Callithrix jacchus: one gene and its partners. The protein of the gene in region 1 binds, or shares a complex with, the protein of each later gene. Links are inferred from orthologs where the notes say so. Each region holds a gene or a part of one and is shown on either strand. Other genes may lie near its edges.

Region 1 (3,729 bases):
AATCATCACCTCTGTGCATTCTTACCCAAAATCTCTAATAAAATCAAGAGAAAACATCACACAAATCCAAACTTAGAGACATTCTACAAAATAACTGACCAATGCTCATCAAAAGTATCTCTATCAACCAGGCACAGTGGCTCATGCCTGTAATCCCAGCACTTTGGGAGGCCAAGGCAGGCAGATCACCTGAGGTAAGACCAGCCTGGCCAACATGGAGAAACCCCATCTCTACTAAAAATACAAAAATAGCCAGGTGTGGTGGCACATGCCTGTAATCCCAGCTATTCAGGAGGCTAAGACAGAAGAATCGCCTGAACCCAGGGGGCACAGGTTGCAATGAGCCAAGATCATGCCACTGCACTCAAGTCTGAGCAACAGAGCAAGACTCCATCTTAAAAAAAAGAAAAATCACCTGTATCATACAAGAAAAGGGTGAAAAAAGTGAAGAAATGTCACAGATAGCAGGAAACATGGTAACTAAATGGAACATGGGATCTGGGATTGGATCCTGAAACAGAAAATGGACAGCAGGAAAAATGCGTGACCCTCATTTAAGGTCATTTATAGTACAATACCAATGTTAATTTCCTAGTTTTGATCATTGTACTGCAGTTATATAAGCTATTATTAAGAGAAGCTAGTTGAACAGTACACATGAACTCTGTGTCATTTTGTAACTTTTTTCTAAGTCTAAAATTAAAATGAAAAGTTTTAAAACAAGTAGTAGCAGCAATACTGGGCACAGTGGCTTATGCCTATAATCTCAATACTTTGGGAAGCCAAGGCAAGAGGATTGCTAAAGACCAGAAGTTTGTGATCAGCCTGGGCAACATGGCAAGACCCCACCTCTACAAACATATTTTTTAAATTAGCTATGAGCAATGGCTGATGCCTATAGCCCCAGCTAGTCGAAAGACTGAAGCAGCAGGATCACTTGAGCCTAGGGTGATGTCCAGACTGTAATGAGCCATGATCATGCCACTGCTCTCCAGCTTCAGCAACAAGAGTGAGACCCTATCTTGAATAAATAAAACAAAACAAACAAACCTAGTAGTGTCTACCAAGGCAGCCAAGTCTGCCAATAACTTGCTATTTGAGCTTGAGCAAGTCCTGACCCCTTGCTCGCCCTCAAAATGCAATGCTTTCTCCTTTCTAACAGAAAGAACAAAGACCCCAAAGGAAAAAAATTCTCCTAGGAATAGTGTAACACATTCTTCCAATTGAGACATTCAAAAGCTTTACTCTTCCATCTCAACTGACAAAGCCCCAAAAGAACTACACTGAAAAGGAGATGCACAAGAAGTTACAATACCAAAATGTAAGCAAATAAGGATGACTGAAACGAAACAACTCCTTCTCTCTCACCATTGAAGCGGTCAATGGCCTCCTGCCGCATGTTCCCAGTGATTCCACCATCAATGCGTTCATATTTATAACCTTCGTGTTCCAAGAAATCCTCTAGCAGGTCTAGCATCTTGGTCATCTGTAAAAGGAGCACGGTTTAACTATGGAAAAGTCAGATGTTAATTCCTTTCCTTATATCACTGAGGGTTGTCTATGACTGTTCCCTAAATCTCCCAGCCCACATGGTACCTGGGAAAAGATGAGTACACGATGTCCACCCTCCTTAAGGTTCTTGAGCATTTTCTGCAGCAGCAATAATTTCCCAGATGCTCTGATTAGGGCACTACCATCATACATGCCATTAGGCATCTTTGGGGCTTCCTGAGGACAAAAGCAAAGAAGAAAAAATATCAAAAGAAAGCCCACATGAAGAGTCCCAACCCAGGGAGGAAGAAGAGGTGGCACACCTACCATCGCAGCCACAGGGAAGAGGTACGGATGGTTGCAGCACTTCTTAAGATCCATCACCACATTTAGCAGAGACACCTGGTTGCCACCACCTCGGGCATTGAGTGCTTCAAAATTCCGAGTGAGGATGTACTTGTAGTATTTCCTACGTGGGCAAGGTAGAAACGCGGGTTAGACTCGAGAGCCTTTCAATAATGGAGTCCCAGTAACTGAGATCTTTCTTCGAACACATCCCACTTTGGGACTAAGGACACCTAACACACAAGCACCACCACCACCATTTTAAATAAGGAAGGTATAACTTAAAATAAGTAAGAATTATGTGCTCCAGCGCCCTAGCATCAGGTTTCTTCAGGCCTTGCTTGCTCCTGTCACCAGATGCCTTGAAGATGAGTAGGGGAGGAATAGGAAACACTGCAGACTGGCAGATGTCTAAATGGAGTCTGCTTCTGTCCCTCCCAACTCACTTCTGCATAGGGCTTAGCTCCACACGCACAATTAGTTCCGTCTTGGATGGCATATTCTTGAACACATCAGCTTTGAGCCGCCGTAACATGTGCGGCCCCAGCATGTCATGCAGTTTTTTTATCTGGTCTTCCTTGGCAATGTCAGCAAACTCCTCCAAAAAACCTTCCAAATTGCTTCAGAAAGAAAAAGGAAAAAGTTACTGGAAAAGGAGAAAGGAAGAAAGGAAAGTGATACAGGAAATGGATAACAGGAAGAATGAGAAGCATAATTATGAGCTGATTACAGATAAGCACACACTTACTGGAACCTCTCAGGGGTGAGAAAGTTGAGCAGATGAAACAACTCTTCCAGATTGTTTTGTAATGGAGTCCCAGTCAGCAACAGCTTATGCTGGAGTGAGTAACCATTCAAGACCCGGAAGAACTGGTGAGGCAGATGGAGAGAGGTGAAATCCAATGAAAAGAGGACTCTGGTAAATCTCTGCAAAATTTCAAGTTGTTTCACTGCCCAATAGTTAAGCCTCCCACTCCTCACACTCTTTTTACAGGCCTGGCCACCAAGGGCTGTCACATATAAGGAAGGAAGGCAGAGACAATTTTTCCCTCTCCTCTCCTCCTACAAGTTTTCCCCTTAATGAATTAGATCTAGAAAAAACTCAAACTGGGTGCTCCAATGTCCCTCCCTAAGCCCTCACCTTAGACTGATTGTTCTTCAGCCGATGGGCTTCATCCACGATGAGGCAGGCCCAATCAATAGAGCCCAAGATAGCCATGTCAATGGTGATTAATTCATAGGATGTCAGCAGCACATGGAATTTCACAGATGCCTCTTTCTGCACATGAACGCAACTTGGTCACTACTAGTCAGCTCCTCTGGTGTAAGCACAACCAGGGGACCAATGGAACTTTTTCCTCCTCCCAGGGTTACCCTTTTGTCTCAGAGACCAGATTACAAAGAGGTAAACTGAGCCAGAAGCCACAACTCTTTCTCTAGAGTGGCTTTCCTCCCTTGAGATACCTTCATGCGGGAGGCCTTCTTGCCACCACGAATGGCATTGTCTTCAAAAGAGAACTCATTCTCTCGGATGATGGCACGGCTGTCCTTGTCACCCACATAGGTTACGACATACATGTCTGGAGCCCACATTTCAAACTCCCGCTCCCAGTTGATGATGGTAGAAAGAGGGGCACTCACTAGGAAGGGGCCTTTGGAATGACCCTTGGAGGAAAAAGAGAAGGAGAGTGAGGACTGAGGGCCCCAGCACACTGCAATCCCAGTGAACACCCACCACCCTGCTGCCCCCTCAAGCTAAGCCAAGGACTGGAGCCTGCACTGCTGCTCCTGCTCTCACCTTCCTCTATGCACATGCCCTGCCCACTCCTTTCTAAAAAGCCAAGGTCCCACCAGAACTGCAAGTCTTATCTCTTCCATTAAGTCTTTCTACAC
Region 2 (3,352 bases), on another chromosome or scaffold:
TCTGTGGCTGAGCCCTCTAAGCCCAGGGCCCCGCCCAGCCAGGCGGCGTGCACTGGCACTCCGTCACGAGCATGGCACGGCTGGGGCTGGAAGTTCAATGGGAACACATCGGCTTTGATCTAACTTGCTGGTTATCCGCTTTTTATAAAACAACGAAACTCAAAGATGCCTGCTGACAAGGACTCCCTCCTGCTTCTACCAATGTTCCCGACAGCAGGCGTCCCAGGAACAGCCAAGGAAAGCCAGCCCAGAGTGTATTGGCCTGGGCCGGTGTGGCCAGGACTAGCCCACGGGGGCAGCCCCAATACCAGATGGCTGGGGCCGGGACAGACACCACTGAAGGCTGGTAGATGGAGGCAGCGGGGACAGGCCAGATGTGCGTGTCCAGACAGGTGGAGACCAGGGAGCCCAACACCTGACCTCAGGCCCACCCAGCACCTCAGCTCATGGGCTGACCCCATAGGACATGCCTGCCAGGGCACCTGACAGCTCCGGGGGGACAGGCTGGCTGTCCTAGATGGCCACTGCCCACAGCCGCCTCCAGGTCCCCAAACTGGCCCCGCTGCCCTGGCCAACACTCTGAGTGAAAGCTGCCTGGGGAGGGGTTGCAGGCATGTCCACACTGGCAGGCCCAGTACCCGCACACCCGGCCCAGGCCTCGGTGCACCTGCGTCCCACACACCTGGCCTCCCCATGCTGGGCTTGGTCCTATCTGCTCTTCCCTGAGGGGCCTGGGGTCCCACAGCCCCTAATCCAACCAACTGGCACAGAGCACCGAATCCATCACCCGATAGAAGGCACCAAGCCTGGGTGCAAGCTCAGTTGCCCACAGCCTGCCAGACACCCTCACTGTCCCCACTGTTCCCCCACAGGCAGGCGCACGAAAGGATTGCAGGCACAGCATGGGCGGCCCACAAGCTGAGGCTGGCAGCATGCGGGCGGTCACAGCGCGATGGCAGACAGCGCAAGCAGGGCGACAGGGCCACACATGCCAGGACAGTCCACTGACAGGGCGTGGGGCCAGGGGACTGAGGGCCAGATGCCTGGGCTCGGGGGCGGGGGGGGTCTCAACAAAGGACCAGTGGCGTTGGGAGGAGTGGGGGGACTGGGCCGTGGCCTGGCTCCCATGGACTGCCCCAAGCATGGGCCCCGGGCCGCCCGCCGAGGGGACACACTCAGCAGCACAGTACAGGCATCACGGGCGCAGCGCCCGCCCGTGGCCCCAGGCCTTACCCCTACTGGGCATCAAGAGGCGCTTCTTCATGTTGCCTGGCAGCGCCGGGGCAGGAGAGAGGGAGAGAAGATAGCATCAGCACGCACCGCGGTCGCCCCGGGTGGGTGACGAGGGCCACACTCACCGGGCAGGGCAGGCCCGGACTCACCGGGCGAGGGAGCCACTCACCATCCACCCCGTTGTGCTGCTCGTAGCTGCGTTTGCCCAGGATGGTGGGGGAGCCGTTGTTGATGACGGGGGTCGCCTTGGCAGGTGTCAGGCTGCTGAGCACGCTGGACACGCTCTTCACGGGGTCAGGCTTGGGGGGACGGGGGTGGGTCTCTGCCGGGAATGACACAGGCAGAGCAGGTCACCTCTGCCCAGCAGGGGGCGGGTGGGCAGCCTCCAGCCCTCGTGGTTCCGGGACACCACCAGGAACTCGGCCCCATCCTGACTGGGGTGGATGTGGAGGGGTCGTCACAGAACCAGGGGCCCAGGAGCTCTAAGTGCCCTCCGAGGGGGCATGCCCAGGCCAATCCTGCACCCAGGGCTTCCAGGGAGCAGCGAGACTGCCTGGCAGCGCCCAGGCCCCTCTGCCCCAGCCAACAGGGTCCAGACACCGGCCGTGAGCACAGCACGCCTGTTAAGCAGGCTGGCTGCTGCTCAGACTGCGAACCGACCACCCGGCCAGCCTAGCCAGGGACACAGCTGCTGAGGGCCAGCCCTGACACCGGCCACCTCTTCCCACAGGACAGGAGCCCATGACCCTAAACAGGGCAATGCCAAAGCCACTTGAGTGTGCAGAGCACACTTAGCTCAGGGCTCTGGAATGTCCTGCCCAGGACAGTCACCCCTGTGTCGGGAGGGCGGCCGCACAAGCCCACTCCAGCCCAGCACGCTGGTGAGCCGCCCCCCACCACCACTGACGTCTGGCCCGGCCCCTCAGGCTGCTTCTGGCTGGGCCAGGGTAGCTGGCTAAGATTCTCGGGTGTCCTCAGAACCTCAAAGGCAAGGGAACCCCCGCCCGAGGCTGCAGGCCAGGTGTGCCCCTCCCCCTGCCCAGGCCCTGCAGAGGCTCAAGCGCTGCCCCTGTGGTGTGGGCGTTGCTCGGGGTGTACTCCCGGCATTACAGGCATGGGTGTACCCCATCCAAACCCAGACCTTCAGGCCCCAGGGACGATCAGGACACAGGAACCAGGGTAGGAAGGCTGGCAGGGAAGCCCCCTGGGTGTGCCCTGAGGAGGCTGGCCCTGCAGAAGATGGGGCGGCAGCCACTCCGCCTGAACCCCATCAGGCCCCAGGAGCAGAGAGCAGCCTGGGTCCCAGTGGGTCTGCCTGAGGCTGGCACAGTGCAGAGTACCCCAAAAGGACGGTTCCAGGCCCTGGGGGGCTGTCCAGGAGATGCCGCCTAGAGAAGGCTGGGAGCACCCGTGCGTGAGCTTGGGTCAGAAGCTGCCCGCAGGCAGCACCGGGAGCCCTCCTCGCACCCGGCCTGCTCACCGAGATACCGGAGCACAGCTTCCAGCGGCTTGCGCGCCGCCTGCTTCAGCACCAGTGGGCTCTGGGAGGCTTCGGGTAGCCGCGCTGTGCCTGCAGGGACCACACAGCGTGAGGGGTGTGGTGCCCCAGGGAGCACGGGACCCTGCCTGCGCCTTGACCAGGGAGCCCTCACGGGGCTCGGCCATGCCAGCACCAGAAGGAAATGGGGCTCCCTCGTCCAGGACTCCCCTCGGGGCTGTGGGCTGGGCCCCAAGGTTGCTGCTCCTCCCCACCACCTGTCGGAACAGCGTAAGCGGGTGTCAGGGTGACTCACACTCGGCCTTGATGGCCGCGCTGTTGATGGGCAGGTAGGGGTGCCTCGCGGCATGCCATGGGCGCAGGATCTCACGGCACAGCCGCCGGGCAATCCGCGTCAGCTTCGTCGTGTGCAGATAGAAGGCCTGCCGGGTCTTCATGGCAAACTTGGGGCTCCCGCTGCTCCGGGCTGGGAGGCCGTGGGGACTCTGCGGAAGGGGGCGCAACCGCCCCGACACAGCGCCATGACTGGGGGCCGAGGACCGCAAGGCAGATACGCCCGCAGCCGGCAGGGCGGGCACCCCCCCCTTACCATGTTACTGCGGTTTGGTCCTGGCCTCTCTC
Region 3 (4,437 bases), on another chromosome or scaffold:
GGGGGAGATGCTACTACGGTGACCAGATCACCTGCCATGGCCAGGTCTCATTCCAGTCTTTCCAATCTGGCTTTCCCTGGCATCTTCCTGACTGAGGGCGGGGTGAGAGCTGAGCTCCTTCTCCCCAGGGGATGTGGCTGGAGGCTGCAAGCAGCTGAAGAATCGCTATGAGAGCCGAGACCGGGAGTGGGCTACGTACACCTGTGTGCTGGGCTTTCACGTCTACGGTGAGCAGGGGCGTGGAACCCTGCTGGAGGGGCGGGGGACAAGGTGGAGCCCAGTTTGGGCTCGAAACGCTGGGCGTGTGTCGTTGGGTGGGAGTCCAGAAACCTGAAGATCCAGCCCAGGAGGCCCCCCCCCCCCGGCCCTCGGGACCGGGAAGGCTTGCCTGGAACGCGGCAGTGGGTGGCCGTGGCTGCCGGAGCGCCTGAAATAGTGCAGCTCTGGGCCGTGGGTGGCAGTGGGGAGGAGGTCGGGCTGAGGCCGGCCGCTGTGCTAGGCGTGTGGCCGGACGGCTCCGATGGGACCGACATCAACTCCCTGTGCCGCTCCCACAATGAGCGCGTGGTGGCGGTGGCTGACGACTTCTGCAAAGTGCATCTTTTCCAGTACCCGTGTGCTCGTGCCAAGGTGAGGCCGCAGGGGCCTCCGGGGCGGGGTGGGGCGGGACAGGACGGGTGGGCCCGAGGGCTCCGCCGCCACCGCAACTCCCTTCCCTCCTGTCCAGGCGCCGAGCCGCATGTACGGTGGCCACGGCAGCCACGTGACCAGCGTCCGGTTCACGTACGACGACTCGCACCTCGTCTCGCTGGGCGGCAAGGATGCCAGCATCTTCCAGTGGCGAATGCTGGGAGCAGGGGGCGCGGGGCCAGCGCCCGCCACGCCCTCTCGAACCCCCTCCCTGTCCCCCGCCTCCTCCCTTGACGTTTGATCTCGGCCTGGCGGACCAACTGGCTGAAGGCGTGGACCCGCCCCGCCCCGCCCTAGTTCCTTTAGACCCGGGGCTGACTCCTCGACTGACTTCCAGACATTCCCGATCGCGCATTTCCCTGGAGGGCGCGAACGGCGCCCCTGCACACACTGTTTAGACCCGCTGGCTGAGCTGGGCAGCCCCAGCCTAGGCCTTGACTCCCGCTGCCTGCTGAGGGGCAATAAACGAGAACCAAAGTCGCCTCCCGGTGCTTTTGTGGGGCGCTGCTGGGGGCCTCCGGGGCCTTGTGGGGTGGGGACGAAGGAAAAGAGGCGTGCGGAAAGGGTAAGGGAGCGTAGACCATTTATGCAAATAACAGGCAAAGCCGCTTGCAAATAACCTGGTTAAGCGCGAAGGCGCGCGAGTCTTTCGGGGCGGCAGGAGAAGCTGCAGGGACCCAGCGAGTACACAGTTAAGTCCGACTTCTCTCCCGCCCTCGGAAAAATGGGGTGGGTCCGAGCTGCGACGGAAATAGCCGAGTGCCGGGCCGCTGTTGGCCGACAGGAGCCGAACCTCTTCCGGAAGTAGCCGATCTGCGGGGTCTCGCTCTACGACCTAAGCCGAACGGTGGGCCTTGTTCTCCGGATCGGCCGAAGGTGTTCCGGAAGGAGGCGAACCCCGAGGCGGGCCGGGCAAGCCTTCCCTGCGGCCGGCAGATCCCAACGACTAGTGGGACTCGGCGGGGGCGGGGGTAGCTGGAGCTTAGCTCTGGCCTGGCAGGAGCCGAGCTCGTTCCGGAAGAAGCCGAGCGGACCGGGGCCGGCCTCAGCGTCCCGGGAGTGGGGCGATATCTGCCGCGGCGACAGCGCGGGCCGGGATGAACCGCGACGGCTGAGGCAGTGGAGGTGCCGGCTGCGCGGGCCCCACTGAGACTCCCTTGAAGCTACAGCCCCACGCTCGGGGCTTTGCCTCGAGCCGAGCCCTGCCTCCGCGAGCCTTCCGGACCCCTTTGTGCGGCCGGAGGCGGCGGCGGGAACGGCCATGGCGGCCAACATGTACCGGGTGGGGGGTGAGTACCGGGCGCAGGGGTGCGGGGCCCGGGGCGGGAGATGTTGGGGTCGGGACCGGAGGGACTCCGCACCTGGTGGCGCGGGGCGCCGCGTCTGGGGCAGCGTGGACCCGAGCGCGGACCGGAACCGGAACCGGGAGACTGGGAGCGGGGAAGTGAGGGTGCGGGAACGGCGACCGCGACGCGGCAGGGTGCCGAGACTCCCGGAGAGAAGCTGCGGGCAGCCCCGACGGCACTCTCAGGGCTGCGTCGGGGGCTCCCCCGGGTACAGAGTGGGCTTTGGAAACTGGTTCAGAAGGAGCTGACCTGGTAGGGAGGCGACGCGAGGGGCTGGGGCGACGGCTTTGCCACCGCGGGGGAGCCGCCCGGAGATTTCCTCTTCCCAGGCGTTATTGTGCGCCTCGGTTCGAAAAGGTGGGGGCCCAGCGCCAGCGTGAACAATGACTTCGCCGCGACTGGGCTGCAACTCATAGCTGAGTTGTGGGGACGCAGGGGAACCCCTGCTTCTTGCCTGTTCCTTAAGGCTCACTTTTCTGTGAAGGATCCGATTTTAGAACTAGGCGTGGTGGGGATGGGGAACATCCTTATTTTCTCTTAGTCTTTCCACTTTCACATCTCAGCGCCCTCTCTACCTGGATCTTTATCTTCTTTTGGTCCACTCAGGCCAACTTTCTCTCCTACTCTCGTGCTCTGTGTCTCCCGTCTCGTCCTCTGATCTTCGTGGTTCTTCCCCCTCCCCTCCCTTACAGATTACGTCTATTTTGAGAACTCCTCTAGCAATCCTTACCTGGTTAGACGGATTGAGGAGCTCAACAAGGTGAGTGGAGCAGAATCCCTCTCCCTCCCTCCCCCAGTGGTCTCTTTCTTCTGAGGTTTCTAACTTCTGGTGGAAGAGAGGACTCTATACTAAGTATCTATTCATATTCATTCATTCATTCATTGGATGTATTCAGGAAAGGCTATTGAGAGCTTAGCAGGAACTTACTATTCTGTCTCTTGGGGGCAAAGGAAAGGGATTTGGAAGTCTGTCCTTGAATGTAAGTCTTTACTCCTATTTTCTTGGGATTTTTTATTTAGGTTCCTCTGAAACTTACTGTTATTTGTCTCTGTGCATTTCTGTACCCAGATGATCAATTTTTCACTGCTACATTTTTTTTTTCTCTCCTTAGACTGCAAATGGAAATGTGGAGGCAAAGGTTGTCTGTCTTTTCCGGCGCAGGGACATTTCTAGTAGTCTCAACAGCCTGGCTGATAGTAATGCCAGTGAGTACCTTCATCTCTTTCTTTTCCCCCTCCCCATGATCTGAGGCCTGGGCATGTCCCTGCAGGAGTTTCTCCTGGTAGCATGCCCAAGGCAGAGGTGTGAATTTAGGGGTGGGAAATACCTGGTCTGAGGAGGGAGGCCTGTTTTTACACGTTGGGGTTGGAAGCAGGGTGGAGAGATTGTGATAAGGAAAGCTATAATATGGTTTGTGTATGAGTGTAAGAGAGAGATGATAATGTTTATTTAGGGGATGAGGATGAACTTCAGAGAAGCAGAATGCTTTTCTAAAGGGGGACAGTTTGGTGTACATTAGAACAGTAGGTGGTGACTGAAGGTCAAGGTGAAGAGGAAGAGATTGTTCTGAGAGGCCCGCATAACAGGGAAGTAGGCTCATTTTGTAATCACAAGGTGGTGGGAATACCTGGAAGCTGGAAGATGGTAGGAAAGTTTTCTTGTACTTTTCATTTCTTACCTCACCCATTTCCCGGCCCCCACTCCATTTTACATCTTTCCCTTTTCATTTTGCCCTGTCTTCATTCTCTTTAAGTTCTCATCTTTTTTTTTAAAAAAAAAAAACAACACAAAGAAACATGTTTTCCTCAGCTTCTTTTTCCTTTCCTGCTTTGATTTTCTTTCTCCTTCCTTTTGTTCCACCTTTCTAAATTTTCCTTTTTCAGACTGTTCTGGGTGAGAAGGGGTTAAGAAGGATCCCGGCTTACCAAGTTCCTTGGCCCTTTAGGGTTTCCAGCCCCATCTGGCAGGGGCTGACCTTGGCCTTGTCCAATCAGAATGAGTGTTGGGGGTGTGGTCCCCCTTGCCTTAGCACAGGGTTTCCGGAGCACATAGGCCAGGGGTGGAGCCTACCGCACAACCCCCCTTCTCCCTGAGGTTGGGAACAATGCACCAATGAGCCTGGGCCTGAGGCTCTTCTGTCCCCTCCCACGTTGGTTGGCGCCTAGCCAGGTTAACCCCTTCCACAAGGTTTCAGGGCAAGCTGCAGCTCCTTGGGGAGGAAGGTGTTGCCACTAGCTTGAGAGGTCTTGTCCTTGAAAACCCCAGGAACTATTATTAGAAAATGAGGGATAGTTAGGGCCACATGTGATGTTTTAGAGCAGAATCTCCTGAAATTGAAAATAACTGTAAATAGTCTTGTGTGATACTTTTTCATTTTACTGGGTTCCTGGATCTCACGCT
Region 4 (3,729 bases), on another chromosome or scaffold:
CACTCAAAGAAATGAACTTTCCCAAACACATTATCATTTGCATCACACTCAGAGAAAAGCGCAACTTTTAAATCTTGTTTGAAGCATCTGTAATGTCACTTGGTGCACTACCTCTAAAAGAGAGAATTAAAGTGTGCACTTTTGGGAAAGAGGTGGGGAGCAGAGAAGGGAACTGTGGGGAATACTGTACTGCTGTACAGGAATCCAATATCACATTCACAATAAATAGTAAAAAACTTCCAAGAGGGTTAAACTATAGTTTTTTAATTTTTTATTTTAATTAAGAAGTCCTGAGAGCCCATCAGCACTGGAAAAGGGTAGTCGCCCACTGGTAAACACAGGTGCTTGGCATCTTCAATCCATGAGGGTTTTACCAAAATCACATTGAAACTGTTGTTCACCTCAAGATTAAAGCCATACTTCTTGTCCCTCCAAAACAGTCACAGGAAGAAAAATGCTCAATTTGCATTTATGACTTTATGTAGAAAGACTAGTCTTCAACAGTATGTAAAGGTTACAAACTGTTTTCAAAAGCAATTAAACATTTAATTTGTAAGCTCTCTACTTACGCTAACACACTCATTGTTCTTTTGTCTGAGACCAATATTCTGAATACCTGACAAAATTTAATTTCTCCCTGCTTCTCTCCACACCCACTCTGAATATTGTAGTGCTGTGTCTGGCTATAAAGGTAGCTTTCTTCATTTTCTAATTATCTTATACTGTACTTCTGTTTCCAAGGAATATTCAAGCCATTTAAAAACATGGCATTTTTCAACACTCAAAAGACTACTGTACCTCTGTAGTTGGGCTGGGAGATAACTTGTCTTCTTCTGACTGGGTGGGCATTTTCAGGCCTCCATATTTTTTCCAATAAAGCCAACAAATTGCACATAATCTACACTGCATATTAGGTGGGCCCCAAGAATACCACTGGTGAGACTGGGTAGCTAAAGCAGAAGAAAAACAAAAATTTTTTAAAATGCTGTTTAATTTGTAACATCAACACAAAATAATCGAATATTTTAAAAATACTTGTCATCCTTAGTTTACAATGTTATTTTTCCCAGCTTACAAGTTCAAACGTAGTAGTATATTTGTGTGTTTTTTAATACTCAGAATTTATTAAACCAACTTATTTCTATTATATATAAAGTGGTTATAGCCCTAATAAGAGAAGCTATTAGGTGAGGCAACCTATATTATGCATTGTGCTGCTGAGGAATTTTTTGTTTTGTTGATTAAAAATGCTCTACTGTGTATGTTTCTGGAAATAGGTTCTCAAAAAAAGATATTAGTTGTATTAAAAAAAACAAAAAAAACAAATCCAGGTTTCCAAACCTAGGGTTCAGATACCACTCCAGGGATTATTTAAGCTACTCAGGGAGGTCCCATTGATAAAGTCAGGACTCTAATAAAAACAGGTATCTGTCAGCCAGGTGTGGTGGTGGTAGTAGCTATAGGCCCAGCTACTAGGGAGGCTGAGACAGTAGGATTGCTTGAGCCTGGGAGGTTGAGGCGGCAGTGAGCTGTGACTGCACCACTGCATTCCAGCCTGGGTGACAGAGGAGAAGGGGAGGAGGAGAGAGTCAGGGAGCAGGAGAAAGAGGGAGAGGCAGAGAAAAGATGAAAGAAACAGGTCTCTGTTTTGCACTCCTTTACTTCATAGGCAAAATCCTTATTTTAAATCTCCCTTTATAGACAGAATCCCTTTCAAGACTCTAAATCCTTATCAAGTGAGCATGGGCAGCTGACATCACAGCATGCTTGAGGCCTAAAACTCAGATGATTTAACAGCTGGCTGAATGCTACAAGCTTGTGTTTGTTTTTGTTTTATAGTTTAAATTACTGACATGTAACATTTAAAGTACACCCACAATAGATCTGAAGTTTAAGAGAAAACACTGAGGTTGAAAGGGTAAGTTAATTAGGTACATAAAAAATTGTAATTCTGTAGGTTTGCCTTAAAATATTACTTCTCTGACCTGTAAGTTACCTTTATCAGACTGTTCAAGTGTTCAAACAGCACAGCAAGATGTCCACTAACACTTCATAAACAAATGTGAAAGAAAATACAGAGACTGTTATATTCATGTTTATTGGGAACAGCACTGTATACCCATCATGTATTATTTTTGGAGAATTATTATTTTAGGCTTTTATTTGTGTAAAGCCTAAAAGCATTTCCTCCTATAATTTAGAACTCATAGAATTAGTCAAGTTGTTTTTTTTAAATATAAATTTTTTAAATCTTAAACATTAAGCTATTAATCTATTTTGAATTCTAAATGTAAAATTTCACTTAAAACATACATTTTGTTATGCACGCTAATCATGCACATCATCTTAACAATTAGTGAATAAATGCTTTTCTCCTTAAACTCAATTGGAAAGTAGGTATCATTTAATAGCTTATTTATCATGCATACATAAAAATAACAGAATAATCATTTAAGGGGATATATGTGAGTGCGAAAGGAATTTCCAATTTTTTTTTTTTTTTTTTTTTTTTTTTTTTTTTTTTTTTGAGATGAATTTTCACTTTGTCACCCAGGCTGGAGTACAATGGTGTGATCTCGGCTCTCTGCAGCCTCTGCCTCCTGGGTTCAAGCAATTCTCCTGCCTCAGCCTCCCAAGTAGCTGGGAATACAGGCACGTGTCACCATGCCCAGCTAATTTTTTGTATTTTTAGTAGAGACAGGGTTTCACCATGTTGGCCAGGCTGGTCTCGAACTCCTGACTTCAGGTGATCCACCCACCTTGGGCCTCCCAAAGTGCTGGGATTACAGGCTTGGGCCACCATACCCAGCCTGCAAGTTAAATTAAGACAGATTAAGCCACTACCATTTGTCTGCAGGATTCTTTTTATTTTCCTATAAATATACATGAACTTCAAAATCCAAGAATTTCCAATTCAAGGTATTTATGATGCTATCCATGTAAAGGCCTGACCTAAAGAAATCTAATTTTCCATAAATGGTTTCTCTTTGTGCTCCCATGCTGCAAAAAATGGACATCCCCATGTACCATTCCTATGAATTCAGCAATTTGGCACACACCTTCCTTGGGATCAGTGTAATCATACTCACAGCTGTCCCTCATTCCTAGTCCTTCCTGGAGGTAGTAGGCTACATGTACTCTCAAAGAGCTGCTAAGAACCCAAAACAGGGCACCACATAGGTTTTCAATAAACATTAGTTTCCTTCCCTCTCCCAACCCAGGCTACCTTGACTGGAAGGAAACATAGATGATAATATCATCAATACCCCATTAAGAGACTGTATCCTTGCTTGAGATTTAAAATAACACATGAAGTCTATCAACTACCTAACAATTCACTTCACCAACCCCATTTAACAGCCTGGGCAAATACTGCCAGCATAGATAAATACAGTGGGATCCTGCGGCAAAGGCAAGTATCACAGAATAGCATTTTCCAAACTGGTGCCCCGAGGGAACATGGTCTAAGGGTTATACATAGCAGCTTATCCACACAGAGGCCTTTCCTACAGAATCAGTTGGAGCTTTAATTTTTCAAAGTATACTGAGAAACTCCAAAGGTGGATTTGGTATGCATTGTGGGACCACAGTTTCTGCGAAGCTAATACAACTCTGAACACAATTCAGCAAACACTGCTATGAAATACTCAAAAACCACAAGAGCACATCAAAGAAAATCCAATGTCTAACTTAAGTGTGTGGTACGTAATTAAGGTTCAATAAAAAGTC

Evidence for each region.
Region 2: CHD4 (region 1) and MTA1 share a complex: the UniProt entries of both Homo sapiens proteins name them as parts of the nucleosome remodeling and deacetylase (NuRD) repressor complex. The link is inferred for Callithrix jacchus from reciprocal best matches to the Homo sapiens genes CHD4 and MTA1.
Region 3: CHD4 (region 1) and MTA2 share a complex: the UniProt entries of both Homo sapiens proteins name them as parts of the nucleosome remodeling and deacetylase (NuRD) repressor complex. The link is inferred for Callithrix jacchus from reciprocal best matches to the Homo sapiens genes CHD4 and MTA2.
Region 4: CHD4 (region 1) and MTA3 share a complex: the UniProt entries of both Homo sapiens proteins name them as parts of the nucleosome remodeling and deacetylase (NuRD) repressor complex. The link is inferred for Callithrix jacchus from reciprocal best matches to the Homo sapiens genes CHD4 and MTA3.

The regions. Positions count from the first base shown.
Region 1 is NC_133510.1:20,780,528-20,784,256, forward strand, and holds part of CHD4 (chromodomain-helicase-DNA-binding protein 4), read right to left. Parts: intron 3,502-3,729; coding exon 3,301-3,501; intron 3,116-3,300; coding exon 2,978-3,115; intron 2,707-2,977; coding exon 2,585-2,706; intron 2,457-2,584; coding exon 2,283-2,456; intron 1,961-2,282; coding exon 1,819-1,960; intron 1,729-1,818; coding exon 1,597-1,728; intron 1,487-1,596; coding exon 1,369-1,486; intron 1-1,368. UniProt on the Homo sapiens protein: ATP-dependent chromatin-remodeling factor that binds and distorts nucleosomal DNA. Acts as a component of the histone deacetylase NuRD complex which participates in the remodeling of chromatin.
Region 2 is NC_133509.1:140,327,789-140,331,140, reverse strand, and holds part of MTA1 (metastasis-associated protein MTA1), read right to left. Parts: coding exon 3,321-3,352; intron 3,217-3,320; coding exon 3,027-3,216; intron 2,804-3,026; coding exon 2,714-2,803; intron 1,556-2,713; coding exon 1,403-1,555; intron 1,270-1,402; coding exon 1,234-1,269; intron 1-1,233. UniProt on the Homo sapiens protein: Transcriptional coregulator which can act as both a transcriptional corepressor and coactivator. Acts as a component of the histone deacetylase NuRD complex which participates in the remodeling of chromatin.
Region 3 is NC_133511.1:119,870,982-119,875,418, reverse strand, and holds the start of MTA2 (metastasis-associated protein MTA2), read left to right. Parts: upstream 1-1,573; 5' UTR 1,574-1,951; coding exon 1,952-1,979; intron 1,980-2,728; coding exon 2,729-2,796; intron 2,797-3,148; coding exon 3,149-3,242; intron 3,243-4,437. Other genes in the region: EML3 (echinoderm microtubule-associated protein-like 3), read left to right, coding at 129-227, 500-630, 728-931. UniProt on the Homo sapiens protein: May function as a transcriptional coregulator. Acts as a component of the histone deacetylase NuRD complex which participates in the remodeling of chromatin.
Region 4 is NC_133515.1:72,129,543-72,133,271, forward strand, and holds part of MTA3 (metastasis-associated protein MTA3), read right to left. Parts: intron 2,049-3,729; coding exon of another isoform or gene 2,011-2,048; exon of another isoform or gene 1,927-2,010; intron 951-1,926; coding exon 799-950; intron 1-798. UniProt on the Homo sapiens protein: Acts as a component of the histone deacetylase NuRD complex which participates in the remodeling of chromatin.